4 linked regions of the Schizosaccharomyces pombe genome follow. The gene in region 2 interacts genetically with the main gene of each other region. Each region holds a gene or a part of one and is shown on either strand. Other genes may lie near its edges.

Evidence for each region.
Region 1: mutations in pca1 (region 2) and alg10 together harm fitness more than expected from each alone (negative genetic interaction), as found in Schizosaccharomyces pombe (one large-scale study listed by BioGRID).
Region 3: mutations in pca1 (region 2) and ish1 together harm fitness less than expected from each alone (positive genetic interaction), as found in Schizosaccharomyces pombe (one large-scale study listed by BioGRID).
Region 4: mutations in pca1 (region 2) and mss1 together harm fitness more than expected from each alone (negative genetic interaction), as found in Schizosaccharomyces pombe (one large-scale study listed by BioGRID).

Annotation. Positions count from the first base shown.
Region 1 is NC_003424.3:1,135,290-1,142,370, reverse strand, and holds alg10 (dolichyl-phosphate-glucose--glycolipid alpha-glucosyltransferase Alg10), read left to right. Parts: upstream 1-4,452; 5' UTR 4,453-4,639; coding exon 4,640-5,574; intron 5,575-5,616; coding exon 5,617-6,019; 3' UTR 6,020-6,175; downstream 6,176-7,081. Other genes in the region: rRNA methyltransferase Rrp8, read right to left, coding at 794-1,750; UBA domain protein Mud1, read right to left, coding at 2,129-2,923, 3,038-3,241; protein ema19, read right to left, coding at 3,254-3,805; mug64 (BAR domain-containing protein), read left to right, coding at 6,368-6,439, 6,595-6,642, 6,687-6,854, 6,969-7,081.
Region 2 is NC_003421.2:2,260,115-2,268,940, reverse strand, and holds pca1 (metacaspase Pca1), read right to left. Parts: upstream 4,975-8,826; coding exon 4,521-4,974; exon of another isoform or gene 4,475-4,520; coding exon 4,415-4,474; exon of another isoform or gene 4,374-4,414; coding exon 4,276-4,373; exon of another isoform or gene 4,249-4,275; intron 4,230-4,248; coding exon 4,206-4,229; intron 4,166-4,205; coding exon 3,997-4,165; intron 3,958-3,996; coding exon 3,485-3,957; 3' UTR 3,284-3,484; coding exon of another isoform or gene 1,671-3,283; 3' UTR 1,636-1,670; downstream 1-1,635. Other genes in the region: F0-ATPase delta subunit atp5, read left to right, coding at 47-57; pgm2 (phosphoglucomutase), read left to right, coding at 1,021-1,071, 1,134-1,233, 1,671-3,283; karyopherin/importin beta family nuclear import signal receptor Sal3, read right to left, coding at 5,372-8,659. UniProt on the Schizosaccharomyces pombe protein: Involved in cell death (apoptosis).
Region 3 is NC_003423.3:2,515,385-2,523,228, reverse strand, and holds ish1 (nuclear envelope Ish domain protein Ish1), read left to right. Parts: upstream 1-4,515; 5' UTR 4,516-4,925; coding exon 4,926-6,980; 3' UTR 6,981-7,104; downstream 7,105-7,844. Other genes in the region: UDP-glucose 4-epimerase Uge1, read left to right, coding at 304-306, 374-436, 605-1,606; Ran GTPase-binding protein Hba1, read left to right, coding at 2,459-3,658; Golgi GRIP domain protein Grp2, read right to left, coding at 7,169-7,844. UniProt on the Schizosaccharomyces pombe protein: Has a role in maintaining cell viability during stationary phase induced by stress response. Activated by the spc1 MAPK pathway.
Region 4 is NC_003424.3:950,412-957,738, reverse strand, and holds mss1 (GTPase mss1), read left to right. Parts: upstream 1-4,771; 5' UTR 4,772-5,135; coding exon 5,136-5,285; exon of another isoform or gene 5,286-5,344; coding exon 5,345-6,685; 3' UTR 6,686-6,827; downstream 6,828-7,327. Other genes in the region: sno1 (glutamine aminotransferase subunit), read left to right, coding at 1-93; eIF2 alpha kinase Hri2, read left to right, coding at 1,265-1,379, 1,467-1,505, 1,555-2,089, 2,154-3,384; nuclear HMG-like acidic protein Mak16, read right to left, coding at 3,665-4,511, 4,565-4,626; Ino80 complex subunit Ies6, read left to right, coding at 7,088-7,327. UniProt on the Schizosaccharomyces pombe protein: GTPase involved in the 5-carboxymethylaminomethyl modification (mnm(5)s(2)U34) of the wobble uridine base in mitochondrial tRNAs.

The sequences.
Region 1 (7,081 bases), on a different chromosome or scaffold from region 2:
ATCATTTGTAGTCTCCAGCCTTCGCTTCGCGAAAGAAGAGTTCACGCAATTTTAAAAAATTGACTTTGTAAGTTTGTAAGCGCTAAAAAAAATGAAGCATTTGGTCATTGTTTCATCCTTTAAGGCAACTAAATATGTGTGCTACATGAATAAGTTGCTGGAGCTACCTATAATTAATAATTACTAATATACTGGATGGAAAATTCTTTCTATTCTTTGACCGCGATGGATTAAATTCAAATGTTTTATCGATTCACAAGATACTCGTAATGTTGTCTTCAAAAATAAACGAATTTTGCTTTTTGTTTCAATGTGAATTTTGACTTACAAGTTAGAGGTACATATCAAATATAGGATGCTAATATAGCACAAGTTAATATTCTAAAAAAAAATCTAATAATTACTCAAAGTCTAACCCATGCACTATCAAAATAAATGATGAATGATTTGATATGACAAGCCAGCCAATAGATTACTCCATCAATTAGAATGTAGCATTTGGGTCTTTGGTATAGCTATATTTTTCATTATCAACGATTAGACACAGCCTGTGACTCTTGCTTGCTTTTGCGAATATTCACAGCTCTAACGAAACAGTTATTTCTGAAATATATAACCTATTTTCTCATGCGATATTGATAAACCTATCGTTCTTCCGTTAGTCCGTCTTCCGATTGACAAAGAGTAAACGTTTAATATTATATTATCCCAAAATTTAAAACAAAACCTATTATACAAGAGCCCCAAACCTTCTTATACCGAAAGACCAGTTCTTTCCTAAACAATACCTTGTTTATCTTCTTTTGTAAATGCAAGCACTTAATATGGGAGGGAGTTCTTCACATTTCCCGTGTACAGGTACTTTTTTGAACTCAAACAGAGTAAACATTTTGTTTTGAAGCTGAATGGACTTAGTTTCAAAGCCTAATTTTGGAAGTTCTTTAGCAAAAACTTCTCCACTCTTATCAGAGAATCTGCTTTTGATTTCAGCAACCCAAAGTAAACCACCGACTTTAAGAATACGATAAGCTTCTTTCAAAAAAGATTGCCAATTGGTGCCCATAAGACTTAAACAAAATACAGCAATATCGACAGTTTCGTCAGCCATTGGAACATTCGCAATATCACAGGCTACCACATGTTCATTGGGAGCAACAAGGTCAAAGCTGTGCACTTGCAAAGAACGTGATTTTCTAAATGTAGAAGCTATTTTAGCTTCTCCGCAACCGAGGTCAGCAATTACAATATTGTTTTTCTTCTTTGCGTTTGAATGCTCAAATCTGATCTTTAAATGTTGAATGAAAATATCAACAGGATTTTCCGGCCAACCTTCAACTTGATATCGAAAACCAGCGTGATAAATATCAAACAAATCTGGATTTTCCTTGAACATTTGTACAGCTTTGTCACTTTCCGTAGTGTACAATTGTTCATTTATCCATCGAAAATTGGCACCATCTAGTTTATCTTTCATTTTTTGTTGAAGAGACGTTAACTTAGTATGCTTAGCATCCCCCTTGTTTTTCTCTTTAATAGAAGGGACTGATTTTTCTTTTTTAATCTCGCTTTTCAGGGAATTGTTTGTGGTAACCGACTTTGCCTTTTTTAAAACTTTTTCGTTGAGCTTTTCGCCTTTATCTCCTACATTCTTTCTCTCACCTTTCTTTCTTTTTTTTTCTTTTCTAGATTCTTTCGTTTGGTCTGATGCGCTTTTACTTACTGGACCTAAGTCCCAATCTACTTTAAACATGAAGTAGGGAATAAGATTAAATTTGGTTGTAAGAAAACTTCATCCTACGTACGTCAAACCAATGAAACCATAAAAGTTTCTAAGTATTAAAATAAATAACATTCATTTTTTGTGAACGTAAAATTAAAATAACAAATACTTGAAAAAACTAATCTTGAAATATAAAACTCAGTTTGATTAAGCAATTACGCATATATATAGAATTTTTACTTTCTGATACAAAACACATAAAAAATGATATAAAACACATTAATTTGAAAGAATTCGTCTACAATAGTAGAACAGGACCGATCTTGAAAATAATCATTTCCCTAATTTTTATCATGACTAAAATCATTGATTATGTATATCCAATCTCCCCGAAATCGAATTAAGTCGTTAAAGGAGAAAAGAAGCAGCTACATCTAAATCTCCATTCGCAGCGTCTAACGCCTGCGCAGCCTCTAATGGATCAAATCCCATACTGACTAGCTGTGCAATTTTGGAGTTCAAACCGGGGTCAGTGGGAGGATTTACCAAGGAAGGGGGATTGGAAGATCCCTCATTGTTGGGTGCTACGCTTTCTTTGGTACCAAGACGAGTGCCACTTTGTGGATTAGGTGAAGAAGCGCTCGCCTTACTTGCAGGTTCAATACCTAAACCGTGTGCATTTGCAGATGGCTCCACATTAGCCAGCAATTTTGGAATTTCAGATTCTCCAAGAAAAGGAATTTCTTTTCCATGAATCCGAAGAACGTTATTTTCTAAATCTATACAAGCTTGATAACGGCGTAACATATCAAGACCAAGTAGCATATCAACATCCCGACCTTCAATAACAGTAAATCGACATGGAAGATATAAATCGCCAATCTTTAAAGGTGCACTGTGAACACAACCTAATATTTTAGCCATTCCTACGCCCTTAGCGACACCTTGAAATCTAGTGTCAAGAAGCCTGGTAAGACCGCACTTTTCAGCGCAATCAGCAGACAAAATGGTAGCTTGAGCACCAGAATCCACAAATGCTTTCACCTTATGACCGTTAATCTCAACGTTTACAAAAAGCATATAAACTTGACCAAACACTTCAGGATGGTTTTCTATTGCCGATTGCATATTCTCGGTCACGGCATTTTGACGAATCTGCTCTTCAATACGTCGTTGGACTTCAACATCAAAGAGGTCATCTTCCTACAAAAATGTTAGTAAATCACCTTCGAAAGCCCTTTATTTATTGTGTCCATTAAAACTAAATTATTGGACTCAGCAGTTTATACGGGCGCTATTATGCGAAATTAAACGTACAGAAAATGAAGGCATTCCCATCGAATATGTAGAAGAAGGAATCTGCAATAATTGAGAAGCATTAATGGACTGCCATGTAGTAGCAAACGCATTGGGATCATTAAGGACAGCAGCTAGTTGAGGAAACTCTGTGCGTATTCGATTTAATAGAAAAGGAGTTGCTAAAATCGTTTGACGAATATTTTCTGGTGTTAAATTATTCATTTTTGTGTTTTCTTAATCACTCTTTGAGGTTATGGTAGAGGAAGGACCTGATTTGGCAGCATGACACGACTTGACTAATCGGCCACCCATATCAATTGCCATCCATAAAGGAATGGCCAAATAAGGAAAATAAAAACTCATTATCATCCATTTTTTTTCAGCAAATAACTCGAACATGCAGCACCATGTCGTAGTAAAAGCATGCACCCCGTATATGAGAATTGCAACCCATAAAACTGGATCCCTCGCTTTCTTTCGTAAGCGTAGAGAAACCCAAATAAAAAAAGGAACTTGAAAGAAAAGTTCTGAAGAAAACAATGCAGTTTTCCAAGGCGCAGGGATTAAAAGAATAGGGTCTTCATATGTAGATAAATAAAAGCGTCGCAAACCAGAAAGACAGCTTAAAGAGCCTCCAAGCCATTCAGTTATAGGTAAATCAACAAATAATGCTGCAGCTAGATGGCTTACGAAATAATAGTAATACAAGGTATCCATGTGAAGGCGTGTGGTTGGCAATTTGTATATCTCACTACTATAAATGCGGCGTAATGAAACCACTTTCATGAACCCAAAACATTGATATTCCTCATTCAGAGATTTTGAATTGCTATAGAAAACAATTTTACAATTTTAAACGGTGACATTGAAAGTTATTAGTATTTTTAATAACAACTGCTTCTCTGCGTATTCTATATACGTTACTTAATAATGTATTATCGTGTTTGTTTTAGAGCACTACGTCTAAATAGTTTTATAAAAACAATACGTTAGATGTTACACTTACAAGCAATAGGAAGACGATTGTTTAGTTTCATATTGGTGGTAATCAGTATATCGAGTAATTTTGTGTGCCAATATTAAGTTAAAAAGCCTCAGGCAGATTTCATTAATTAGTTAGTATTACCGCTTAATTGCCTTCATGTACATGATAATGTTAGACCACATTACTATGAAATTTATCAAGTATTAAAATTTAAATGAAATTCAATGTTATCAGTTCTTTTAAAAAAAAATGATGCAATTAGCAGCCTAAATATAAAAAACAGACTCGTCACATTTCGTACTTAAGTGTGCATAATGTTGAATGGTTTTTAGAATGCTATCTTTCTCTAGATAACTAATAATAAAATCATGAAATTCAATTAATTTGATGTAAAAACATTGTTCTCCCACTCTTGCTATATTGTAAGCATTTGAATTCCAAACTTCCTGCCAACAACCTCAGCGAAATTTAATTCACACCTTTCGAAAAGTTGATCGTTTGTTTTGGAAATTGTGTTATAGGGTCTAAAACAAGCGAACATAAAAAGCTGTTTGTAAAAGGTGCGCCCTTTATCAAAACCTGATTTTCTTTATTCGTTTATTATAAACTTTCATTAAAGACCCAAAACACAGACAATGTTTCTTGGAAAAGCTATAATTCTAATACTATGGATTTTTCTAGCTTTTACAGGTCTTCTAGCTATACAATACTATGTTCCTAATCCTTACTTGGATGAAATATTCCATATTGCACAAGCTCAACGCTTTTGTAGAAAAGATTGGGATTGGGATCCGGCGATTACTACACCTCCTGGTTTATACTTGGTTTCAGTCGCACTCAGCCCATTTATAGGCTGCAGCAATGTATCTCTGAGGTTAATAAACTGGCTTGTAGGCGTAATTGGACTGCCATGGCTTATAAACGATATCGTTTCTCTTTTGAATAATAGGAAAGGAGATGTTGTTACCTATTTCGCTTATACGTTATCGTCATTACCTCCTTTATGGTTTTTCTCATTTTTATACTACACTGATATTGGTAGTACTTTTTTCGTCCTTCTTGCTTATGACTTTGCTCTCCGAAAGTCTGCTTTTTCAAGCTCTGTGTCTTGTTTTTTTTCTCTATGGTTTCGACAGACAAATATCGTTTGGATGGTCTTTATTGCAGTTACATATTTTGCTAGCAATATGTCTTTCTTCAATCCCCACTTAGCTGAAGCAACTTTTGCTGATGTTCTTCTTACTATAATTTCATTCTTAGGGGTTTTTCTTAAAAATTTAAGAAGATTTTCGTGCCCAATTCTATCCTATGGTGCAGTATTTTGTTCCTTCCTTGCATTTTTGCTTTGGAATGGCAGTATTGTCTTAGGCGACAAATCTCATCATCAAGCAAGCATTCATTTATCTCAAATAAATTACTTTCTGTGGTTTTTCTTTTTCTTTTCTTTTCCCTCTTATATTATAAAATATCTAATGTCCCATTCTCGACGCTCCAAACTTTTGTCCGCAGTCTTTTCTAAAAAATCTTTTTTGATCGTTTCTGTGCTTTTGTTGATAGCGCATTTTAATACGTACGTGCTAAATTGGTATTGTTTAATTTAACTAACGTTTAGAATTTTCCATCCATTTATTTTAGCAGACAACAGGCATTATTTATTTTACGTTTTCAACAGACTTTTTCGAATTTGGTGGTTAAAATATTTAGGCCCATTTTCTTATTTAATTTTATACTACTTTTTTTTGGATATATCCAAATTGCAAATGACCTCGCTCACGTTCTTTTTACTGATTTCAACAACAATCCTTACATTGGTACCGGCACCTTTAGTAGAATTTCGGTATTTCCTTTTACCCTTCCTTTTCTGGCGTTTTCATCTTCCTCTTCCGTCGGGGAGGGAATGTTTAATGGAATATGCTTTGCATATGGTCATTAATTCTGTCACCTTGTATATATTTTTATTTCGAACATTTATATGGCCATCCGAGCCAAATGCTCTTCAAAGGTTTATGTGGTAAACTATCTCATACGAAACTAAATCAATTCAATACTTTATATTATGTCAACTTCAAAAATGATTAATCTGATGAACCACATTTACTTGATTTAGTCGAATTTTTAGATCTATCTCCTTCTCTTTATTTTTAACTGTTTTAATGTAGGATTTTCTCTAAGAAGAAGTATTTGCGTTTTTTATGTATGTATTCGACATTGGTAAACAAGATATATAAAGGTGTAAATGATAGTACTACGTTTTCAGTAAGTTATATTTTGTATAACTCAAAGTAATTTAAAATCATGGTGCTCGTTGATTTTTGGTAGAGTTGGATACGATAACATCTCTGTTTTACCTAGAGCCAACAACAATGGAGACTTTCAAAACTCACATCACTGGGCAGTTTAATGCTACAGTTTCTTCAATCACGCCCTTCGCTAAGGTAAGATGCATTTGTTATATTGTATTGCTGTTTAAATCTTCAGTTAGTATTTGCGTTTTTATTACCCGCAGCCGTGATTTTATTTTTAAAGTGATCGTTTTAGTTGATTTATTCATTCCGATAAACAAGAATATCTTATTAACAGTTTATGTTAGAAAACCACTCATTATTTGCGTACAAAAATTGGATCAAGAGTCGAGGAAGTACGATAAAATAAAATGCACACGAATTAACATTTTTTCAATAGTTATCTCTTCCGGAGGATTATGTGGAATTGGAACAACAAGTTGATAGCTTGAAAGAAGCATACAATCTTGTTTTACCTATTGTTGAAACCGTAGAAGTTGATGGATACGATTATCCTACAAATTTCCGCGATTCTATTACGGATTTTGGTAAAACCGTTTCGGGAAAGGTAAGAATACTTAAACTTTATCAAATCATCGTCAAGATATCATATAAAGTGCACTGGGTCACAAAGCGAATGGTTGAATGTTTTATTGAGATGCTAACTATTTGTTAAATGCAGGTTAGAAATCTCGGAAATTTGACTCCCTTAGAACAAACGCCTTTAGCTTCAGTGGGAAAAAATTTAGAAGAAAAAGAGGCAGCCGCGAAGCCCTCAAGAACTCTTTACAATGC
Region 2 (8,826 bases):
TTTCATGATTCAATTTTAATTTTTTTTACATGCTAACCATTTATAGAACCTATTTAAGGCTGTTTTAATGCAACAGCGTATCCTTCGCCAAAACCCAATCTTTATTCTCTTCTCATTCTAAACAGGCTTGAATTTCCTCTTATTCGTATTTCTCTTTCTTTGATAGGTTTTAATGAGCCATAGTACGTATTACATAGTCAATTGAAACTATGGTCATCATGTTTGCCTTACCTCCTCAATATTTCAGTTTCATTTATGTATGCTGTTATCAACTTTATGAATGCTATTTTTTCATCATCGAATAGTAGATCTTTGAAAACTTAGTTCCTGGTTATGGAAAAGGTGTGATTAAAGCCACAAATGTACTAACACTAATTTTCTTATCGTATCTCAAAGCTTGGAGTGATCCAGTACTTAAAACTTTAAACCATTCCATACTTAACCCGTTCAGTTTAGAGAAGTTGTACTTGATGGTATTGATTTTCAATCTCATCTGCATAACATAGATTGAGATTTATGAATAAACGTGTTGAATTGAAACCTGGGATATTCTATAAAAAGTTAACATCAGTTACTGTTGTTTATTAGTCAAGAGCTTCAAACCTTTTCGGTTCAATGACACATTCCGACAAGCAATTTTTAGACAAGAACGTCGCCAAGCCTAAGTGAATCCCATTGTCCGACGCCTATTAATTAAAACGATTCAGCTTGCGAATTGACGTCAGGTCTTGAATTCTTCCAATTTCTCCTTTTTGTAAGCGGTATATATCGTAATTAACTGCTGCTTTCAAATTACTAGGCTTCTTTTTGCAGCTAATGTTTTAAGAAATTCTCTAGAATAATTGGAGGTCATGAGTATAATATTATTACTACTTTTTGTTTTTGAGTCTATTTTATTAAAATCATTTTTGTAAGAAAACGGATACGAAATACCACGGCGTAAGGACGCGTTAAACGAGGTGATGAGATACGTGTATTGTGTGTGTAGCAAACAAATGGTAACAATTCCCATTTGGCAAGATGGATCCGATTTTGCAAGAATTAGTAGATGAGTGGTTCAAATTAGATCAAGTAAGTATTAGGACTATATTTACTATGGAAGTACTGTGGAACTAACAGATTGAACGCATTAGGATGAAACTACGAGGAATGAAGTTTCACAATTGATTAAGGCTGAAGATTATGCCACCCTCAAGCAAATTATGCATCCAAGGATTGGATTTGGTACATCTGGTATGTTTTTATTACAAAAGAAGAAAAAATTGAGATTGTTAAGAGATATTTCGCAAGTTGAAGTGGATTGAAAGAGAACGCTAAATAATGCCTCTTTCTTAATAAAGAATTCTCAGTGCTACAGCCGGTAGCTTAAACTACTTTATTGTGTTTTCCTTGATTAGAGTCGAAGTGATATACTTGATCATCGGTCACTTTCCTTACTGCGTATACTAATTTATTGTGATGATCATATTGGTCATATTTCAGAAAGAGTTTTTCGTTCTTCTTCTTCTTTTCTATCTGTTTTGGTCTTTTTTGCTTGGAATGTTATATAACGTGCTTGTACGAAATTGGTTTAAGTGTAATTAGATTTTCAGCTTGCGATTGTTCTCTCTATACATCTTAATGTTTTAACATTATCAAGTTCGTTTATTCATTTACTAATGTTTACAAAGGTTTGAGAGCTGAAATTGGTGCTGGCTTCGCTCGCATGAACTGTTTGACCGTGATTCAAGCCTCACAAGGCTTCGCTGAGTATTTGCTTCAAACCGTACCATCAGCTGCAAAGCTGGGTGTGGTAATTGGACACGATCATAGGCATAAGTCTAATACTTTTGCTCGACTTACTGCTGCAGTGTTCTTGCAAAAAGGATTCAAAACGTATTTCTTCGATCATCTTGTCCATACCCCTTTAGTCCCTTTTGCCGTTAAAACCCTAGGGACTGCAGCTGGTGTTATGATTACTGCTTCCCATAATCCCGCAGCTTATAACGGATACAAGGTCTATTGGGGAAACGGTTGTGCTATCATTCCTCCCCATGACAAGGGAATTGCTGCATGTATAGAAAAAAACTTAACGCCCATTACTTGGGACAAAAATTTGGTTGAAAATCATAAACTAGCAGATCGGGATTTTGCAGTTGGTCTTTTAAAAAACTATTGGTCTCAGCTCCACGAATTCCATTCCGAAAACAACTTTTCCTTGGAAATGAAATCTTTGAAATTTGTTTACACTCCTATTCATGGCGTTGGATTACCATTTGTTACTTCAGCATTACACTTATTTGGCGAACAAGGCGATATGATTTCTGTACCTCTTCAAGATTCTCCAAACCCTGACTTTCCGACTGTGAAATTTCCAAATCCAGAAGAGGAGGGGGCATTGGATTTGGCTTACGAGCAAGCTGATGCTAATGGTATTTCGTATGTCCTTGCAACTGATCCTGACGCAGATCGTTTCGCCTTTGCAGAAAAAATTAATGGTGCTTGGAGAAGATTTACCGGAGATGAAGTTGGTTGTATCCTTGCCTATTTTATATTTCAAGAATACAAAAACGTTGGAAAGCCAATTGATGATTTTTACGTTTTGTCAACTACTGTCTCTAGTGCTATGGTAAAGTCCATGGCCAAAGTAGAAGGATTCCATCATGTTGAAACACTTACTGGATTTAAGTGGTTAGGCAATAAAGCATTAGAATTGGAAAAACAAGGGAAATTTATTGGATTGGCATATGAAGAAGCTCTTGGTTATATGGTAGGTAGTATAGTTAGAGACAAAGACGGGGTTAATGCTTTGATTACGTTCCTTCATCTTTTGAAACGCCTTCAACTTCAGAATCTTTCAATTACCGAGGTTTTTGAGCAAATGTCTAAAAAATATGGTTATTACACTACGCAAAACTCATATTTCCTTTCACGCGACACTCCCAAGCTTCGTGCTTTGGTTGATGCCTTGAGACATTATGACACAAAATCGGGTTATCCGGCAACCCTTGGTAGTAAGAAAATTACAAATGTTCGCGACCTTACTACAGGTTACGACTCAAGCTCCACGGATGGTAAAGCTACTTTACCAGTTTCAAAAAGTTCAGATAACGTAACGTTTGAGCTTGAAAATGGAGAGGTAATTATGACTATTCGCACAAGTGGTACAGAGCCGAAACTTAAGTTTTATATCTGTGCTCGCGGACATTCGCTTGAAGATTCCATAAAGAATGCTACAGAAGTTAAACAGGCTATCAAATCTGAATGGTTTCATCCCCAACAGAACGGACTGGAAGAGCCATGAGTTTTCTCGCGTGTATAATTTTAATTTGAGCTCGTTTTTTAAGCAAAATTATAAATTGCAAACAAAAATATTTCAATAAAGTATTAGATATGATTTCCTGAGTTGTTGTGATTTAAATTTTATCCTTAATTGAAAATTCCTTAAATATCTGATGGAACTACAAAAATATAGAACTTCAATGATCAAGTAATGTTTAGTGTACTATAAAACCATGGCAAGATTCATGTCTAAAGGATGACTACAACTTAATTGGGGCAGTTGTGAGTATTTGTTGGAAAGTACTTGTCGAATACCTCTCAGCAACTGCAAGTAGCTAAGTTGGGGATTTTGAGTGACGACTTCACGGAAGGCGTATGATAAAGCACCAGTAGCGAATCCATTAACACTTGTATCTGCGCTTGTTTGATTATCTTTGCATCCGGATAAAGAAATAACATCAGCAGGAGAAAACTTAACTTGTCTAGAGTACTGTAGAGCGTTGTTATTAAATCCATTGGTAGCACTGGTAAATATATTTTTCACGTTGTTGATAGCTCCCATAATGTCGCCAGAGGCATAAGAAAGGCCAGCATGAAGTACATCCATACCAGATTCTTTTAACATATTTGGCTCCTTTAGAACGCCCTTGGTAGAGTACGTGAAAGGAAGATCGAGAGCTCCACCTGAATGACAAGCTATATTTTGTTAAAAATAGATTAAAATCACTGACTTACAGTCAAAGAGAGCTGTTAAACGACATCCTGCTGGTAAAGGCTTAACCATTATTTCGTGCATTTCATCATCTATAATTTGCCCGGCATATTGATGGTCCAGTGGATATATCGTTTCATCATAACCATCAACTTCGTCTCCATCAAGGTCTTTTGTTTGCCCTCCGTGGCCCTATGCATGTGAGTATGAGATGTAAAGTGATGATTCTTACACTATAGTGAAAAAATAATGCATCCTAAATAGTTAGCATTAGGAAGTAAATCCCATGACATATAACTTACATTAGGTTGGGCATCACTTACTAACCATCTCATCGCATCTAACATATTTTGACGAGTGGGAATTGCCCTTTGGTTGCTTGCCGTGTCTGTCATAATAACTAAAAAAGTTTTAGCAAGATGTTCTCGTAATCAACCATACCCATATCTTCTTGCTTGTAACCGTAGCGCTGTATCAGCAGTTGGGACATAGACATGACATCTTAAACAAGTTAATATATGTTTACTTGACCTTTCGCATTCCGTACCATTAATGCAACCTTGCAACTCATTTTGGGTATTGAGATAGTTAATTCCGATCAGCAAAGCCTTTCGCTTCCCTTGGCAAGTTGAATACTGATACTGAAAGTTTCCTCCTCCTGCTAAGTTATAAGATTGAGTCTGAGTGTTTGGCAGCTGAGGCCCACTATAATTTGGGTTGCCATAAGAATTAGCACCAGTATTCGGAGGCGGACCTGAGGGTGGGGCATAAGCATGGGAGTTTGCAGAGCTCAAACTTATATGACCAACATTCTCCATAGGGATTTGATTAGAATTGCCGTCTGTCTGAGGCCTTGTGGAAGGGGGTGGCATACGTGGAGGCTGATATTGATGTACAGTGTTATTACTTTGAGAACCATTATTTGGTGAATAATTAGGTCTAGTATATGTATTATATGGTGGATATTGCCCACCGTTATAAGGATTGGAGTTGTAGCTCATGTTGATGGGAAGTTGGATAGTGCTTAACTATGCTACTTTCAATAAAATACCAGATCTCACAGGTTATAACTAAAGCAAAATCAATTTGACTACAGTATATACATTTAAAAAAAAAATTAATTGCAAAAGATGCGAGCAATATATTATAATCATACCACACATCAAAACGTATTATACACGAAAGAGCTGCTACACGAAGAAATAATTTAATACGATGAAAAATCAAGTAATGTATAAAGCAATAAGTGAAAACCTAGCCGGCATAGTCTAAAAAGAGTGAAACAAAATCCGAAGATTGTTGATGGATTAAATAAAAACCTAACCTAACCTAAACTAACTAAAGCATTTTGAGGAACCAAAGAAAATATTGAAAGACTTAGAGTGAAAGAAATGAAATTTAAAAATGTGCAGACAAAGCTCTCTGATTATCGACACTCAAAGTGGCAATGACAGAATTAACTTGATCAGCAGGGAAACGAGCTAAGTAAACCTTCGAAGCTTCCATCAAACGTGTCAAAGTTCTTCCACGTAAAACTCCAGATGCAAATGTTTCTGCTAAAATCGTAATAATCGTTGGCATTTGTGAGGCAACGGCCACGTGATTTTGTTCCATCAATTCCGCAAGGAAAGTGTAAGCATAAGGAGCGTCATCTTCATCATGTGTTACAGGAAGTGTATTAATCCAATACGTTACAACTTTGTCAAGATCCTGAACACGTTGGCTACAAAAGCGGCAAATTTTGCATATCGCAACACAAATATTTTCTGTGGCATAAATTTGTTCTTCATCACGGGCATCAGGAAGCTCGAGCATCTTAAACAATGCGGGCAAAGCACTAGAGCAGATTTCAGCATACAACTCTCCTCCATGCTGAGCGGCTACTCCAATACCGTACGAGGCAGCTTGTCGAATTTCTGGTTCGCTACTTTGAATACCTTCAGCTAAGTAAGGCAAAAAGTGATCCTTGTAGTTCCAAGAATCGGGTCCAGTAAATTCAATTAAGTCATCCATCATGCATAGAGCCCATTGCTTAGCTACAGTGTCGTTTCCAGACAAAAAGCCATCCATGTACGGTAGTAGCCTTTCCCAAAAAGGGCAGAAAGCAGTTTTGTGAATTTTTAATACAACACTAAAAGTCTTGTTTATTTCGTTTAACAAGTTTTGATCATTTTCGACTGCAAGAATCATGTCCTCATCTTCTTCAATATCTATGTCACCATTTTTAGCCTCCTCCTCACGCTGCTGCACGCGAGAAATGAATCCTTTGAGCTGCAAATCAACGGCAGCAACGAGTGCTTCCATCGAAGAAGGACTCAGATTCAAGCCGCTGATTTCCAAACTTTGATAGAAACATTCAAAATAGTCGGCAAGCATTTCCACGCTTGGTTCATTTTGTATATGATCCAACAGCTTTCGTAAAATAGGCTCCCAAAGCTCATTGACTTTAGCTGGATCACGATTGCTAGCTAAAATCCGAGCGTTCAATAACTGAGGAATACACTTACAACAAGCAGAACGAACCCCGTCGTGAAAGAAGAACTTCAATCCTGGAAGTACAACAGATGTCAAAACTTCATTGACGTAAGGATCAAAGTCAGCTTTTAACTCAGCAGCATAGCAGACAAGCATTTCGGTGGCAGTACACTTGTCTTCTAACGTACTAGTCCTAATACCAACCTGTTGACCATGAACGGGAATGAACTCCCAACCATCTTGTTCAGAATATTTGCTTTCATCAACCTCGTCGTCTATAATTGTGAAGTCAGGTTTCGAGGTAGCAGCAACCAACAGAGGAGGCATAACTGAACTCAAAAATGGGACAAAATCGCTTCCTAAAACACGGCAAATTCTTCCCCAGGCAGAGATGAGATAACTAGCTTGAGGATCATCACTGTCAGTAATACCCATTTGAATGTTACCTAAAATTTGGATTAATTCCTGAGATACAGGAAGGAATCGTTGTTTACCAACAGCTAAGGCAATTAAAGTAGCACATTCCATAGTTTTACCGCGAAGGGTTCTAAACTCCTTGCCGTCAGCTTGTTGCAGAACATTAAACAATAACGGCATGATGGCATCAAAATATTTTTCAAATTTTTTAGCTGCAGCGTCAGCAACTGTAGCTATAGTGGTAACGGCTTGTTCCTGCACATATCGCTTAGGGCTTTGTAACAAGGTAAGAAGGCGTTGAAGGATATCATCCAAGTAAGGTTCGAGAACCTTGTTGTCGGCCTCTTCAGAGAAATTAACCATTGCAGCAGCAGCATGAGCTTGAACACGGGATTCTGGAGACTCCAAAACAGGTACCAATGCCTCGAGGATGCGAGAAGGATACTTGACTTGCATGTCAGGAGCAAAATCTGTAGACATTTGGCCTACAGCATTGCATGCAGCCCATCGAACACGGGGGTGAGGGTCAGCTAACAAAGGAAGTACCATATCTAATACACGACTAAGCTCTTTTTTCATTAATTTTTCAGCACCTTCGGCAATTGATGAGATGGCCATAAGGGCAGCATGACGTTCAGACCATTTTTGAGACGGGATCAATCTAGGAAGCCACGTGAAAGAGGGAGGAAGAATTGTTTTTCCGCCCAACTTTCTAGAAAGTCTATCCATGGCTTGTTCCGCGACAACATGGTTAGCATCACTTTCATCCTGATCCAAATCGTCCGTGTTCAACCATTCTTGAAGTTCTTCTGCCTCATCCTCAGGATCGCCAGCGACATCGGTCATTAGCAAGAGACATTGAAGTACAAGTTGATCAGTGTAGTCGGAAGATTTCCTACACATAGCAGGGGCACCCTCCGAAAAACAAACAAGCAATTCAAGAGCAGCTTGGCGAGCGGAATTATCCAGCTCCTTGTCCTTAATGATACCAAGACCAAATGCGATGACGCTCTCAAAAATAGGTTTGAATAACTTTGGGAAAACTTCGGCGATTTCAGTGATGGCCATAAGACAGTCCGCCAAATTATCAGAATCACGATCTTGTTGCAGAGGGGGAAGGATGTTCATGAGGCTAGGTAAAAGAGGAATAACCTGATCTCGAGTGGATTGTTTGCTCTCAAGAATAACGGCAGAATAGGCACGAGCGGCAGATATTCTTACACGGATACTAGGATCAGCTAAACCGGTGGTAAAGAGAGGAGTAACAGCACTATCTTGACCTGACAATAAACGAGGTAAAGAAGTGATGGTACGGAAAACTGATTCACGAAAAGACTCATCAGGAGAGTTAACAGCATTGAAGATAACGTTAATGAGTTCTGGCCATTCGCCTTGACAATCATAGATAGATCGAGCAATCTCGGCGATTGTGTCACAAAGCTTATTACGAACAGTGGGAACTGACTCCTTAACAAAGCAAGCTAGAAGTTGACTTTGCAAAGACTGTTTGGACTCATTTGAAATGCTAGAGAACACTTCCAACTCACTGTCTCCTGGTAAGGTGCGAAAGGAAATACGACGGCAAAGAACTAAACAAAAGGAGCGCACAGCTGGGTCCTCACTTTGATAAGCTAAAATCGCAAGGCCGTTTAATAATAAGTCAGCTCTTTGACTTATCCAGTCTGAGCTAAGAGACTTTTCAGCATCATTTCGGACAGTATTGTCAGGCGACGAAAGGCCTTGAACTAAATTTAAAAGAGGAGACAATACTTCAGGAGGAAATCCACTAGACATGATATTAAAAAAAAATGAGCAATCAGAGACGTGGATTTTGCAGTTTTAGAGGAAAAAGGTAAATAAACTTAAATACAACTTTCTCGTTCGGTCAGAGGCTGAGGTACCAAGAATGTTTTGGGCTGTAAAAAATGGTAATAAAGGCCGAACTTCTAGTATTAACGAGT
Region 3 (7,844 bases), on a different chromosome or scaffold from region 2:
TAATCACAGGCATTCATCTGCTATACACTTATTCCGACGACCTCTTTGTTACTATATAATATTATGATTAGGAATTTTTTAGCGATATATCAATAAAATGGTTTAGCGAGATATACAAGCACTTTTCACTTTTAGCTTAAGCTTCATTGTGGCTTTTGCTCGTTTTACATCATGTCAGGTTACAGGAGGTAACGACCTGCATTGATACCTTGAGCATGTAGGAAACTGAATATCCAACAAAGAAAGAGCATAATAGCTACAGTCTTGAGCCCACCCCTTTAATATCAAATTATAACGTGTAAAATGGTATGAATAACTTTTTTAATTAATCAAAAGCATTCTTTTGTATGAAAATACTAATTATGATTCATAGACTGGTGTTCATGAAGGGACTGTGTTGGTTACTGGCGGCGCTGGTTATATAGGTTCTCATACGGTACGTAGAGAGCTTGAAGATACAGAAGAGGATTAGTAATGTACATGTAAATGTTTTAAGCACGCATCTTTTGTGAATATAGCTTGCTGCTCTTTACTTTTATACAATTTCGTCCATATTCTATAAAGCTCTTTTTTGAGATATTTTGCTAACCACAATCTGCAATAGTGCGTTGTTTTGTTAGAAAAAGGATATGATGTTGTAATTGTCGATAATTTATGCAATTCTCGCGTTGAAGCCGTGCACCGCATTGAAAAACTCACTGGGAAAAAAGTCATATTCCACCAGGTGGATTTGCTTGATGAGCCAGCTTTGGACAAGGTCTTCGCAAATCAAAACATATCTGCTGTCATTCATTTTGCTGGTCTCAAAGCAGTTGGTGAATCTGTACAGGTTCCTTTGAGTTATTACAAAAATAACATTTCCGGTACCATTAATTTAATAGAGTGCATGAAGAAGTATAATGTACGTGACTTCGTCTTTTCTTCATCTGCTACCGTGTATGGCGATCCTACTAGACCTGGTGGTACCATTCCTATTCCAGAGTCATGCCCTCGTGAAGGTACAAGCCCATATGGTCGCACAAAGCTTTTCATTGAAAATATCATTGAGGATGAGACCAAGGTGAACAAATCGCTTAATGCAGCTTTATTACGCTATTTTAATCCCGGAGGTGCTCATCCCTCTGGTGAACTCGGTGAAGATCCTCTTGGCATCCCTAATAACTTGCTTCCTTATATCGCGCAAGTTGCTGTAGGAAGATTGGATCATTTGAATGTATTTGGCGACGATTATCCCACATCTGACGGTACTCCAATTCGTGACTACATTCACGTATGCGATTTGGCAGAGGCTCATGTTGCTGCTCTCGATTACCTGCGCCAACATTTTGTTAGTTGCCGCCCTTGGAATTTGGGATCAGGAACTGGTAGTACTGTTTTTCAGGTGCTCAATGCGTTTTCGAAAGCTGTTGGAAGAGATCTTCCTTATAAGGTCACCCCTAGAAGAGCAGGGGACGTTGTTAACCTAACCGCCAACCCCACTCGCGCTAACGAGGAGTTAAAATGGAAAACCAGTCGTAGCATTTATGAAATTTGCGTTGACACTTGGAGATGGCAACAGAAGTATCCCTATGGCTTTGACCTGACCCATACCAAGACATATAAGTAAACCATACTCTTCCTTTTCGGATTAAGTGGGTTTTAAATAATTTCCTTCTCTTTCTTGATTCAAATTTGCATAATATGTTTTAGGACTTATGGATTCAAAGACATTATAATGTATTGTTTGATGAACCCTTTTCCCTTTCCTGTACCTTAATTGTTTATTGTAAGTGCGCTCGAGCTATCGATTAGGTCGCTAATAATACCGGTTTGCGAATAACTTATGTTTTAAAAGGGATTTAACAATGAAGCTTATTTCAAAACAATCACTTTCGGTTTACATTTTTATTTCTTTCTTTTGCATACGCATTTTCGTCAAGTTGACATTTTTTCTAATATTGAAGTTTCTTTATATTTCACCTTTTAATTGTATTTTTTTATTCAAAGGTTCTACTTTGTCAATCATTTTCAATTCCTATTTCGATATAGCTTAGATTTTACAATAATACTTGTTATAATACTGTCTATAACTTTTACGTTAGCCGAAGATTAGAAGTCAAGCACCGTATTGAAATCAAAATTATTAATAATGAGTAAGTGAATATATACCAAGGTTGAATGTTTTTTAACTTTTTAAATAGACAGTTATGAGATTTGCACTTCATGACATGCTAGATTAGCGTTTTTTTTCAAATGAATTTAAATTATTCGCAGCTGTTCAATGAATGTAATCGTATAATTAAATCTTAAATCTTTAAACAGCTGTGTGTTTGATTGAATCCACATTCGTCCTCATGTACTCATAGCTAGGTGAAATATATTAGGCTTTCAGTGATTCGGGATTCCAAACTACACTTAATACCCCCAACATCAAAAATTACGAAAATACGATTAAGCAAATAATATTTAAGTGGATATAATGACCAGCAAAATGGAAAATAATAAAGATGAAAGCATTTCTACCAAAAATGCGTTAGAAGAAAAATCGAACGAAACAAAAGACGAAACTTCAAAGCGAAAGCACGATCCGGCAGAAGAAGAATCAGCGGTTTCCACTAAAGTCTCGAAGAGTGAACCGCTGGAAGATAAAGGGAATGCTGAAGTTAAGGAATTTAAAGAGACTACGAAGAGCAATGGCGTAAAACCGGAGGTTGAGATTACTGAGTCTACTAAAATCCAAAAGGAATCAAACACGGAGCCATGTATCTCAACTGGAGGTAAGGTAGAAGAAAAAGAATTGAAGGTGAATAAGGATGTTGATGAAAATGAGGGACACGTAGCTGTAGAGACAGGCAAAAAAGAATCGGCTGCTAAGCCTGCCGCGAGTGTTTCTCCCTTTTCACAATTTGCTTCATTCTCTAATGCCTCGTCTCCATTCTCCAATGTTTCAACCGCCTCCTCTGAACCAAAAGAAGAGAAATCAGCATTTGGTGCTTTCGCTTCTTCAAAGTCAGCGTTCACAATGAAGAGCGTTAAGGATAGCCCATTTAAAAAGTTTGCTGCAGGAACAGCAGTTGAAACAGAAAGTGGTTCTGGCAAAGAAAAAGAAAATGATAAAAAGAGTTCAGAGAACTTTGACGAGTTACTTGCGAATACGTCAGCCAAAGCATTCGAGAATCAGAAAGGTTCAGCTGGTGAAACCAAATCGGAACCTAAGGAGGCTGACAAGGGTAGTGGAGACTCAACAAAGTCTACTATGCATCAGTTGAGTGATTCAGAAATCATCACTGGGGAGGAAGAGGAGGAATCAATATTCAGTGTTCGCGCAAGACTTTATGTTGTTGCTGATGAAAAAAAGACTTGGAAGGAACGTGGGCAGGGAATTTTGAAAGTAAATGTTCCCAAGCAAAGGGGATCAGGCTCAGGCCGCCTTTTGATGAGAAATGATGCCGTGCATCGAGTTATAATGAACGTGCCTCTTTTCCAAGGCATGTCGAAAAAGTCATTACAAATTGCATCAGCATCTAGTGGTGGTTCTGCTAATTACTTAAAGATCTTCGTTATTGAAAATGGAAAATCTGTGTTATATGCTGTTCGTGTCAAAGATAACAGTTTGGCAGAACAACTACGCAATCACGTTTTGGAAGCCATTCCTAAGGGTGGAAGAGAAGATGCATGAGCGAGATAGAAGATCCACTCGTAAAATAGTAAGTACTTTTCGATTCTTTTTTAGCTCTTCACTATGGTTCTTATTCATTCGAAAGTCCAAAAATATTATATCTATATGCAAAATATGTCACGCTATAGGACGGGTTAAAGTTATACATGATTTAAATGAGCCGATCCTATTGACTTTTAATAATTGATTTTCCGGGTCAGTCTATTTCTATACACTCGTCTTATCATTGGGAGGCATACCTCTATAACTACAGTTTTTCAAAATTACTAACAATGTGTACATCACAGTACGTATTTTATTTCCTCCATTTTTACCTAATTTAATCTTCATATTGCTCAGTACGCCATCTTGAAGGAGCAGAGAGTAGTAAGTTTTGCGATCGTTTGTCCTTTCAAAATTGTGATTTTATCCACCATACAACCAGATCATCGCACTTCGAGATTTTTATCTCTCTATGTATATTTTTTTCATTTTCAAATCATGAACTATGGCCGATTGCTGCTAGCATCAATGTGATTTTACACAGCAAATACATCTAGCAGCACTCTAACATATAATCAAAATTTAAGATTGCTATAATACTTTAAATACGATATCAATCACCAAATATAATTTTATTCAAGAGTATCTTAAGTCAGATTGTGCGCTATCGTTAATTTCCTTTAATCCCTAGTTACTGATAGTTAAACTCATGATGTATTGTCTCCCCTTCAATTCGTTCTAACGACGTTTCTTAGGACTTCTAACTAACGAACCTTTCCTCATTAATTTCGAGGGAGTTTACGTCAGTTAGATTATCTGATGCAATGCCTTTTTTTAGCGTATATATAACATGCTATTGCCTCTGGGAATTCCTCGCTTTCCAAGTAAGCTACCTATAGTAATTACTAAATTTTCTCTGTTTCTTTTTTAACTTGGAGGTTATTGTCTCTATAATCCTTGATTAGGATTGTTTTGTTTCTTCACTTGTGCTCTTTGTATTCCATTTTAGGTAAAACTTTGGTCTAATACATACTGTGGTAGTATTTAGAACTCTGGTTTATTTGAAATTTGTGTTAAATAGGATTCTTTAAAGTGGGTTATTTTCATCTTCCGACATACCTTTCTCATTATCCCTTAGTTTAGTGATTCAAAGTTCAACTTACCGTTTAGTAGGGTTTACTTTTTTAGTTCCCTCAATTTTATTTCAAGAGGAATAATTTATATTTTTTATTTTCCTTCTTATCTATCTTCTTTTTGTGATATTTATTTATTTTGATTTGTAAAAATGCGTTCTCGATCAGTGGCATCTTTAGGCGTCTTGCTTGCCATCGTCTTTTATATCTTTACGTATGGGTTCTCTACCTATCGAAAAAACGACACCTCCGCTGTAAAGACTTGGTTAGAGGAGCACTCAATCCCATATGGATCAAGAAGCTCTCCTTCTGACTTTCAGCAATTTATCTCCGAATCTTATGATTCCTTGGTCCCTAACCTTGACAAATGGAGCGGCCATAATTTAAATTCTTGGTTGGGAAAAAAAACCGAATCTTCATATCTTGATGCTATAAGCAACAAAATTCGTAAGACGGGTCGTAAACTTAGTGGCTCTGTCGAGGATGCTCGGGATGCCACTCAAGAAGCCTGGGAGTCACAAAAGGCTTCGCTTTTCGAATCTTGGTCTGATTCACAATTGCGAGCCTTTTTAGCTAGACACAGTCCCCAATTTGCTGCTAAAGAGAAGAAAGGCATTCTGGAGAAGTTGAGTCCTGCTTCACTTCGCGAAACAGCTGCAAAGGAATATGATGCCCTCACTTCTAAATTAGGCAATACTGGAGATTGGATTTATGATACCTGGTCCGATAACGAATTGCGCACCTGGCTGCATGATGTAGGTGTTCCCATTTCTTCCCATGAAAGTACTCGTTCTCACTTGCTTAGAAAGCTGAAGAACTATATTTCTACTAAAGCTGACGAAGCCCAACCTTCTGTTGAAGCTGTAAAGGGCAAGGCTTCCGAGAAGGCAAAGCAAGCTGGAGAATTTGTTTCTGACAAAGCTGGCGATGCTAAAGAATTGGTTAACGAGAAATCTAGTGAAGCTGGTCAATATGCAGGACAAAAGATGGAAGAAGGTGGTGAACTTCTACAAGAAATTTCGAAAAGAAGGGGCAGATTTGGTAATTGGTGGGCCAATTCTGGACTAAAAGCATATTTTGACGCTCATGGTATTCCTGCTTATCAACCATCTCCAATTGATCAATTTTACGCTCACCTTCGTCGTCAGTATTACTTAAAAACAAACGGTTATCAGGCTCTAAAGTCAAAGGCCTATGAGGAAGCTTCCAACGTGGCTGACTCTGCTTCTTCTATTGCCTCTAATGTTGCAAGTGGTGCTACAGAAGCCTATCAAGGCGCTGCTTCTGGAGCCTCTCGTTTTACAGAGGGTGCGAAAACCGCCGCAGAATCGGTAACATCTGCATTTGAACATAATAAGGATACTGCCACTTCAAAAGCCAAGCAAATGAAAGGTAAGGCTGCCAGCCTTGGCTCTACTGCCTCAGAGAAGGTAGGCGAAGCTGCTGACTATGCTGCTGAAACCGCTAGTAAGGTTGCCAGTAAGGCGGCATCTAAAGTACGTGAAACAATAGATGAGACCATCATCGAGCGCTGGCAAGACTCTAAATTGAAGGAATTTTTGTTCCTTCGTGGAGTTCCGGTTCCTCAGCGTTCTACTAAGGATCAATTACTGGACCTTGTTCGTAAGCATTTCAATAAAGGCGCTGTTCCTAATTGGGCTGCTTATTTTGATACTTTGAGCTCCAAAGAGCTTTCTGCCTGGATTAAGGAATACAAAAAACATTACCATGGAAAACTTCACCCATCCAAAGATCGTGAACATCTTTTCCAAAATGCCTGTAATATTTATCGCGCTATTGCTGAAAAGGCTGACAAATCTGTTCTTCAATCGATTCAATCAAAGTTTCCTAAGGCAACTGTTCCCGGTTATGACTCTTGGTCTAATGAAGATCTAAAGTCTGCACTCAAGGAATATGGTGACAGTATTGGTAAGGTGTTTAATCGTAAAGATGCTATTGAACGCTTAAAGCGTCATGATATTTTATTCTATGGTCCTGTTGTTGCCGACAAGGCTAAATCAGGAGTCTCTGGCTTCCTTCGACGTGTTGCTTCTTTTATGGGATTTGGCACTCGCGACGTAGCTGAAATTAAGCTAGGAGAAAACATTCAAAAGGTAAAAGATACTGCCTCTAAAGCCTCATCTGCTGTATCTTCAGCAGGCGACTATGTCGAAACTAATGTAAAGAAAGCCCAAAGGGTTTTGTAAATTGTTCATGAACGTTCTTAATGTCTATTTATATTATTTAAAAAGAAGGAGATTACGTCTAAAACGAGTTCTCGTTTAATATATGACTTTTAATGAAATATCTATGTTCATATTCGCTACTTAACCTTCCTTGGCAAGTAATCCATCCTATTGTTAACATTAATATAATCCATCAAGATACTTTTTTATTAATTTAAGTTTTTCAGAATTAGATGTTGGTGCACCTCCTCCAAATCTAGAGCTGTGGAAAGAATTGGTAAAATCTTATCGCGATGTTCGTGATTCTCTAAAAATTGCAGTAAAACATTTCTAGCATATTCTTTGTTAATCAATTCTTTAGAAATATTGCTTATAACAGGTGGCTCGAATGAACCTGCTGAATCACTTGAAGCTTTGGGCAATATTTCACTGCTCATAACACTGGACAGCTCGCTCTCGTGAGATTTGACACTTTCCTTTTGAACCTTTTGCTTTTCAATGAGTTCTTTTATTTCATCCCTTGACTCCACTAACTCGTTTCCAACATTCCTGAGCATATCTTGAAGATTTTCGTTTTCTTCCTTTAGTTTGCAGACCGTTTCATCAGATTTCTCTAATCTTTTTTTTATATCAAGGTGCTCTTGCTTCGTATTTAGAGCATCCCTGTTGTAGATTTCTGCCTTCTGTTCGGCTTCGTCGCGTTGAATTTGGATCCTACGAACCAAGTCACTCAAGGTTTTGTTTGCATTCTCCAACTCCTTTACCTTTTCATCTAGAGGTTTTTCTTTATCTTTTGAATCGATCGAGCCGGAGCGTTGTTCCTCTAAATCATTATTACCCACAAATTGTTCTGAAGGACCATTATTCTTCTTCTTTTTTCTGTTT
Region 4 (7,327 bases), on a different chromosome or scaffold from region 2:
ACATCGTTTCACCCCGAGCTGACCGCCGATAATAGATGGCATGAATGGTGGGTAAAAGAGCGTGTTTTACCTTTAAAGGAGAAAAAGGATTAGTTTTTTAAATTCATGCCTATAGTTGCATGTTGTATAATCCCACAAAAAGAGTTGAGACAGGTAAATGCCTCACTTATTATTTTAGTCAGTCATTAAGTTTTAAATAATAAATCCTTTTAGATTAATTTTTTAGATTTTAAGTGTTAATTGTTATTTGCTTTCAATCTTTTCTAGGTTCATTTGCGCTGCATAAGTTGCTGTCATTTCCATTGCTAAAAGCATATAGTTTGAATACATTATCAGTTAATCAAATGTTTATAAAAAATGCGCATTATTTTGGGTAATATAGATACACATTCCATAGAAAATTTAACCGAAGATTAAATTTTAGTACACTGGAATTATTCAGTAAGTGATAAATCAAAAATCAAAATTAAGAAAAAATAAAAAACTCCGTTGCGGGGAGTCGAACCCCGACCGCGTCGGTGAAAGCGACGAATCCTAGCCGTTGGACCACAACGGATTCCATGTGCTCTTTACTACTTAGTATAATTTAATATAAAAATTAAAGAATTGTTTATGAATGTGAAATGATAAATTAAATTGTGTCAAATCAAAATGTTTTTTCCTCACATCATGCTGGCTAATGTAATTAAATTTAATAGTTAGCTTGAAGTGCTCGTTCTCTTCAATTTTCCTTCTTACTATCTTGAGGTAAAACTAATGAATGAATTAATAATTCAAATGATTTCTGTCCACAACATTTATCTGGTAATAAAATATATCAATTCTTTAAACAAATTGGTTTTATAAATTCAGTTTCGAGCTGGATTCTTTTTGCTTTGATTTAGATTATAAATGTATCTTTGGCTTACTGTTTACGATGCTAATTTAAAAATTGACTTGCTTTTTCACGAATGAAGAAGTTCAAAAAAGAAGACTGATTATAATTACTTATCTGAATTTTTAACAGTACAAATACATACTTATCGTTAACACGACCATAGTCAGTAGAAACCATGTATTTTAGCTGTAGAGTTAAATTCTCCTAATGTTACTTTCATGATCTGAAAAGTCAACCACAAAGTTTCCATTAACAATTCTCTAACCTTCCATTGTAAGATACGAGATTAGCTGGTTGCGATTAACGGGATTTTGACAAATATTTTGATAAGTGCAGAAAAAAACTGGTTGTTTTCTTAATGCCTTTTTCACTTCCATCATCACAAATATGCGATTTTTCAACGCTCACAAGTCAGCGGAAGATGGGAATTACTCAGAGACAACAAATGCAATAAGTTTAAAAAATGAAAGACAATCAAGGGATTTGTCTGTCAATAAACATGGTAGGAATTAATTACAACTGTGTGTATAAAGCAGTTGACGAACTAAAAATATTGGTCATTGACAACCTAAGCTAATGTATTTATTAGGGCGGATGCTTTTAACTGCTTTGTTGGAAAATTTTTGTCGTATGTCTAAGCTCTCGTTTCATGTGAACTACTTGCTTACTTATTAAAGAACTGTATGACAATAATCCTGCCAAGTCCAAACGACTTTTTGCTTTAATTTGCCATACTCTTCAAAAAATAGGTATTTTGGAAGAAGAATATATTGAAGAACTTGCAGCCGTTAGATCCAATTATCAGGATGCTTTACACCATTTGATTCTGCAAGCGCGTGAGGCAATCCGTCTCGACGATGCTGAAGAGCGACTTTTAGCACTACCCGATCCCACCAATGTATTTGAAAAATTTCCACAAGAAACTGCTCTTTCGAAATTCTCTGTAGATGGATTAAATGTAAGACAGTTCCGATTCCGTGATCTTACGCTTGAGAGTTGGTTACAGTCAAGAAACTCTCGTTACATAGAGGACTTTGAGGAGTATTCTTTACTAGGAAGAGGTGGATTTGGATCAGTATATCACGTACGAAATAAGATTGACGGTGCTGAATACGCAATGAAGAAAATTAATTCAACATTTCAGCAAATGTCTTATTCCAAAATATTTAGAGAAATCAAATGTCTAGCAAAAATGGATCATCCAAATGTTATGTAAGCATCATCAGAAGGACTTGTTTTCATCGCCTTCCTTTTATTATTTCTAACATCGGCTTAGTCGATACTTTTCGAGCTGGGTAGAAAGCACCACAGAAGCAACACAAATGCCGATAGTAATGTCTAAAAATTCTAGTAGAGTACTTGGAACCTCAAGCTATTGTGATGTCAACGGAATGGACTCCATAATTTTTGAACCAACAGAATCTTCTGCCCTTACAGACGATATACTATTTGCAGAAGATCCTGGCACCGAGTCGATCATTTCAACTTCCAGAAAATCTAGCTACTCAAGCACTACTGAATCTTCTAACTTTGAGAATTTAGAAAGCCCTCGTAATCTTCATGACTCTAATGTTTCTACTTTTAATAATACCACCATCTTGGATGACGACTATTCTAGTAGCATGCACATATCTAAAACTGGACCCACTCATTCTTTTATTATTTATATTCAAATGCAGCTTTGCTTTGATGATCTAGAGTCCTATCTAATAAGAAGAAACCATTTTCTTTCATTCCCACTATGTAAGGAACAAATACAACTGCATACGGATTTATTCCGAATGATAATTAATGGCGTTATGTACGTACATGAAGGTGTGAACTTGATCCATCGAGATATCAAACCCAGCAATATATTTCTTGCTAAATCTTTACCGGAGGACCGTGGGTCTGTTCCTTTAATTAGTTATAATGATAAAAACGATTTGAAAGAATACATTACTCCTAAGATTGGTGATTTTGGACTCGTTGTTGAAAATAAAAAAAACACAGAAACCGCACTTTCTTTTCTTGAACGAAACCACTTGCCTAATCTGCAAGATGAGACTCAGCATATAGGCACTGCAACTTACGCGGCTCCGGAATTGCTAGATGCTATGTCTTCTCAGCATAATAAATTTACAAAAAAAATCGATACATTCTCATTAGGAATGGTTTTGTTTGAGCTGTTGCACCCGTTTCAAACAAATATGGAACGTGCAACAAAACTTCAAGACCTTCGTCGAGGAAATCTTCCTGAAGAGTTCGTTGAGCAACATATTTGTGAGTCAAGTTTAATTTTATGGATGACAGCCAAAGACCCCACGAAGCGACCATCACTTCTGGAAGTTCTCAATTGTGGACTATTATTACCTAACCAAGTCTCAATGCCAAATATATCAAATATTGTATCAACAAACCACTTGGATGTTGAAACTCAAATGAAACTTATAATGGATGAAAATCAGCGACTGCGTGAACAAATTGCTGTTCTACGATCCAGGATTCAACATCTTGAAACCCGCTAAACTAAAAATCTTCACTTTTTAATACTTAAATTTCCAGTCAATTTGTTCAGTTTCCCGAAAGTATAGCATTATTTATATCTAACGCTTTTATGCCACAAGTAATAAAATAAAGCAAGGATACATTAAAGCTAATTTTGTTTGTAAAAGCTCCGATAAATTCCTTATTATTAAAACCATTCATATCTATACACCTAAATAATCCAAAATAAAAACGACAAAGTAAAAACTATTGAACAGAATCCCTTAAAAAAAGATAACATTCAAAACCTTTTTTTTTTTTTTACCAAGAATGTTGAACAGCAGGTATTTTTTCATTTTCACGTTCTTGCTCATACTCAATATGAATATGAGGAGCGCGCTTCTTCCTGGATTTCTTTGCATCGTCGGTCTTACGTTTCCTGATTTTTCCTTTGTTATCCTCATCCTCATCCTCATCGGATTCAGACTCTGAGCTTTCCTCCTCTTCAGACTCTGAAGTTTCCATGGACTGATCTGAGCCGAGCCAATCTTCCAAATCAGAGATTTCTTCTTCATCTTCATCATCACTAACAAATTCTAATTCAGCTTCTTCTCGTTCCTCCTCTTCCTCGCCTTCATCAATTAAACCCTCACGTGCGGCTAGTACCTTGTTCCATATTTCTTCATTAACATTCAAAGGTTGATCACCATAAACACCACTTTTAAGTCGCTTAACCAATTCTTTTTCAATATTTTTCTCTAATTTGGCGGCAATAAGTGCTTTTCTTTCACGAGAAGCTTCACGATGCGCTTGTTTAGGCTTAATGGGAATTAATGCTGGTTGGTGTTTTAATGCCAATCGTCTAGCCTTCAATAGGTACTGAGTGAGGCGGGTTAGTCTTTGCTTACAGCGGTGGATTTGACGACCAGGCCAATACAATAACTGTTGATCAATTTGCTCCAACGCTTTAGCGTAATTTTTTGATAACTTTATCCGTTGCCAAAGTTTCGATGGAAAATGCGCACGTTCTATAGTTTTCATGTAAAGATACAGCTTTCCATTATCCTCCCGTACTGTGGCATATCTGGAGTTAGCCAATGGACATGATTGTCTATTGCACAACCCAGTGACATTGTATTCATTTCTGCAAAAATTTTGTGCCTCCCCTCTAAAAATTGTGTTAGGTTATAATGTAATACTAAAAGTGCGAAATCAACTTACTTGATCCTATATGAACAAAATTCATGACCTACAACCTGCCAAATCACCTCGTCTTGCTGCATTTTCGAGTATGGCGCTTGGTAAAGAAAATCCAATTAACAAATTCAAGAATCAACCATATAACGAATTTTAAGAGAATGCGGTAAATATTATTAACGGGAAAAATTGTAAGTAATGTTGTGCAAATGCATGGATCAAGTAGACTGCAGATATCCAACATTAAATTACAGTTGTTTAGTTGTTTGGTGTAGCGTTCGTTTTTGGGATTAATCCTTCTTTAGTTTCGATGATTTATTAATAACCATTGATACTTTTCATTAACTATATTGGCTTGCTAATCTCCTAAAAATTCTTCAATTGCAATTTACGATCATTTATACTTGATTTTTAAACTGTTGATTGATTGATTAGATAATTGCTTCCGTATGTATAATTTTGCAATAAGCTAAGAAGCTTACTGCTTAATTTTGAAGTTAACTACCAAAGCAACTAATAACGTCAAATCTTCAGTCTTGTTTGAGATAATTAATCAATTTACTACTGTTAAACTAATGTTGGAAGATAAAAAAGCATGCGAATATTAAATCGAGTCTTTTTAAATACTTTTCAAGCATGCTTTAGAAGATTCGTTCATCAAATTCCTACTATATATGCATTATCAACTCCTCCCGGTACATCTGCTGTTGCAATTGTTCGTATTTCTGGCCCAAATGCATGCAAGGTAAGGCAAATGTCTATAAATCTAGAACAAACCGATCATTTACTAACAACTAATATTAGGTAGCAAAAACACTCGCAGGAAGTGTGCCAAAACCTCGTATAGCGTCCCTGAGGACGATCAAACACCCAGTGCGTTCTGAAGTCATTGACAAAGCATTGATGTTATATTTTAAAAAGCCTTCATCTTTTACAGGTGAAGATGTTGTTGAATTGCAATTACATGGAGGGACAGCTGTGGTGGATGTAACACTTGAAGCCATAAAGCAGTCAGGAATTCCGAATATTCGCTATGCTAAGCCAGGAGAATTTTCCGAAAGAGCATTTTATAACGGTCGTGCAGATTTGACGCAACTGGAAGGATTAATAGACGTTATCAATGCGCAGACAGCCGAACAACTTTACAGTGCAAATAAAGAAGCACATGGCTCCATTTATGATATTTGTTTTCGATGGAGAAAAAAGCTTATCGAATATCGTGCTTTTTTGGAAGCGTCAATTGATTTTTCAGAAGAACATGAACTGGACGATATTGAAACGATCAAGTTGTTTGAGGAATTGAATGAAATGAAAGATGAAATAGACGCTCATATAGAGGGAGGAAAATGTAAAGAAGTTCTGAGGAAAGGTATTAATGTGGCTATTCTTGGGCCTTCCAATGCTGGGAAGTCGAGTTTAATTAATTTACTAGCTAACCGCAGAATATCAATTGTAAGTCCTCAATCTGGAACGACAAGAGATGCTATCGAAGTACTAGTAGATATAAATGGATTTCCAGTATTGCTTTCTGATACAGCAGGACTCAGAAAAGGAGAAGACGTTCAGGAAATTGAGAAAATTGGTATTGAAATTGCGAAAGCCAGGGCGGAAGAATCCCAGTTAACACTTTTTGTTTTTCCCATAAACTACCATTCTTTTTCCGAATCTTTAAAACAGTCAGAAATTTTGGAAACCATTAAAGATTGCCTTCGTCAAAGAAAACCTATTCATTTTCTAATAAACAAAGTCGACTGCGTTTCGGATTACACAACTATGTTTAAGCCCATTAAAGCTTATCTTCAGAAAAATTTTTTGATTCCTGAAAATAGAATACATGCAGTTTCTTGCAAAACAAAAGAAGGACTTATTGATTTCTTGCAAGCTCTTTCCTCTACTTTCGAGTGTATGGTCAACCCTCTTACTAATAATAAAATTCAAGCAAATTTGGGTTGGAATGAACGTCAGCGTCAATGTTTATCAAGTTGTTCCAGCCATCTTTCTTTGGCCCTGCAAAAAAGCTCAGACATCGTAGTTGCTGCCGAAGAGGTGAAGCTAGCTACCGAAGACATAGGTCGAGTAACTGGGGCAGTCGACATGGAAAACGTTTTCTCTGTCATTTTCTCAAAATTCTGTGTTGGAAAGTAATGCATTTGTACAATTATGCAAGCTCGTTGACAAATGTTAAGCTGCAACTTAAAATCTCATCTTATTTATGAATTCGTTAGTTTATTTAGAGAAAAATGGACAGACAACATGGTATTATTGGTAAAAGTCTACATTTCTAAACGCGTTCAAAACTTCAAAATACAAAATATTGAATTATTTATTCATCAAATTTATTTGCTTTCACGTAATATGTGTATTTACAATTTAGCAGCTAATGAGTTTAGAATTAAGGAGGGCGTGTTAATACTCGTTCACTAATGGCTTGAGCTGAATTAACGACATCAGACGAACCTTTAGTAATGGTAGTCAAGGATACAACGATACATAGAAGAAGTGCGGCTTTCAATTTGCCATAGCCAAATCATCAAGATTATCAGTTTCATGGAAAAAAACAGTTCTGTCGATAGTTTAGACATCAGTTTACTTGCAAGGCCATTTCGAAATCCCAATTATAAAGCACAACCTAGGCGAAATCGGAATCTACGACAAATTATTCAAAATGACCCAGTACAAAATGAACCAAGCAAATTTTCTTACTCATCGATAGAAGCACCGCCTAGTGTCCTCCCTCAACCGAAATATTGCGATGTTACTGGATTACTGGCTATTTACACAGATCCC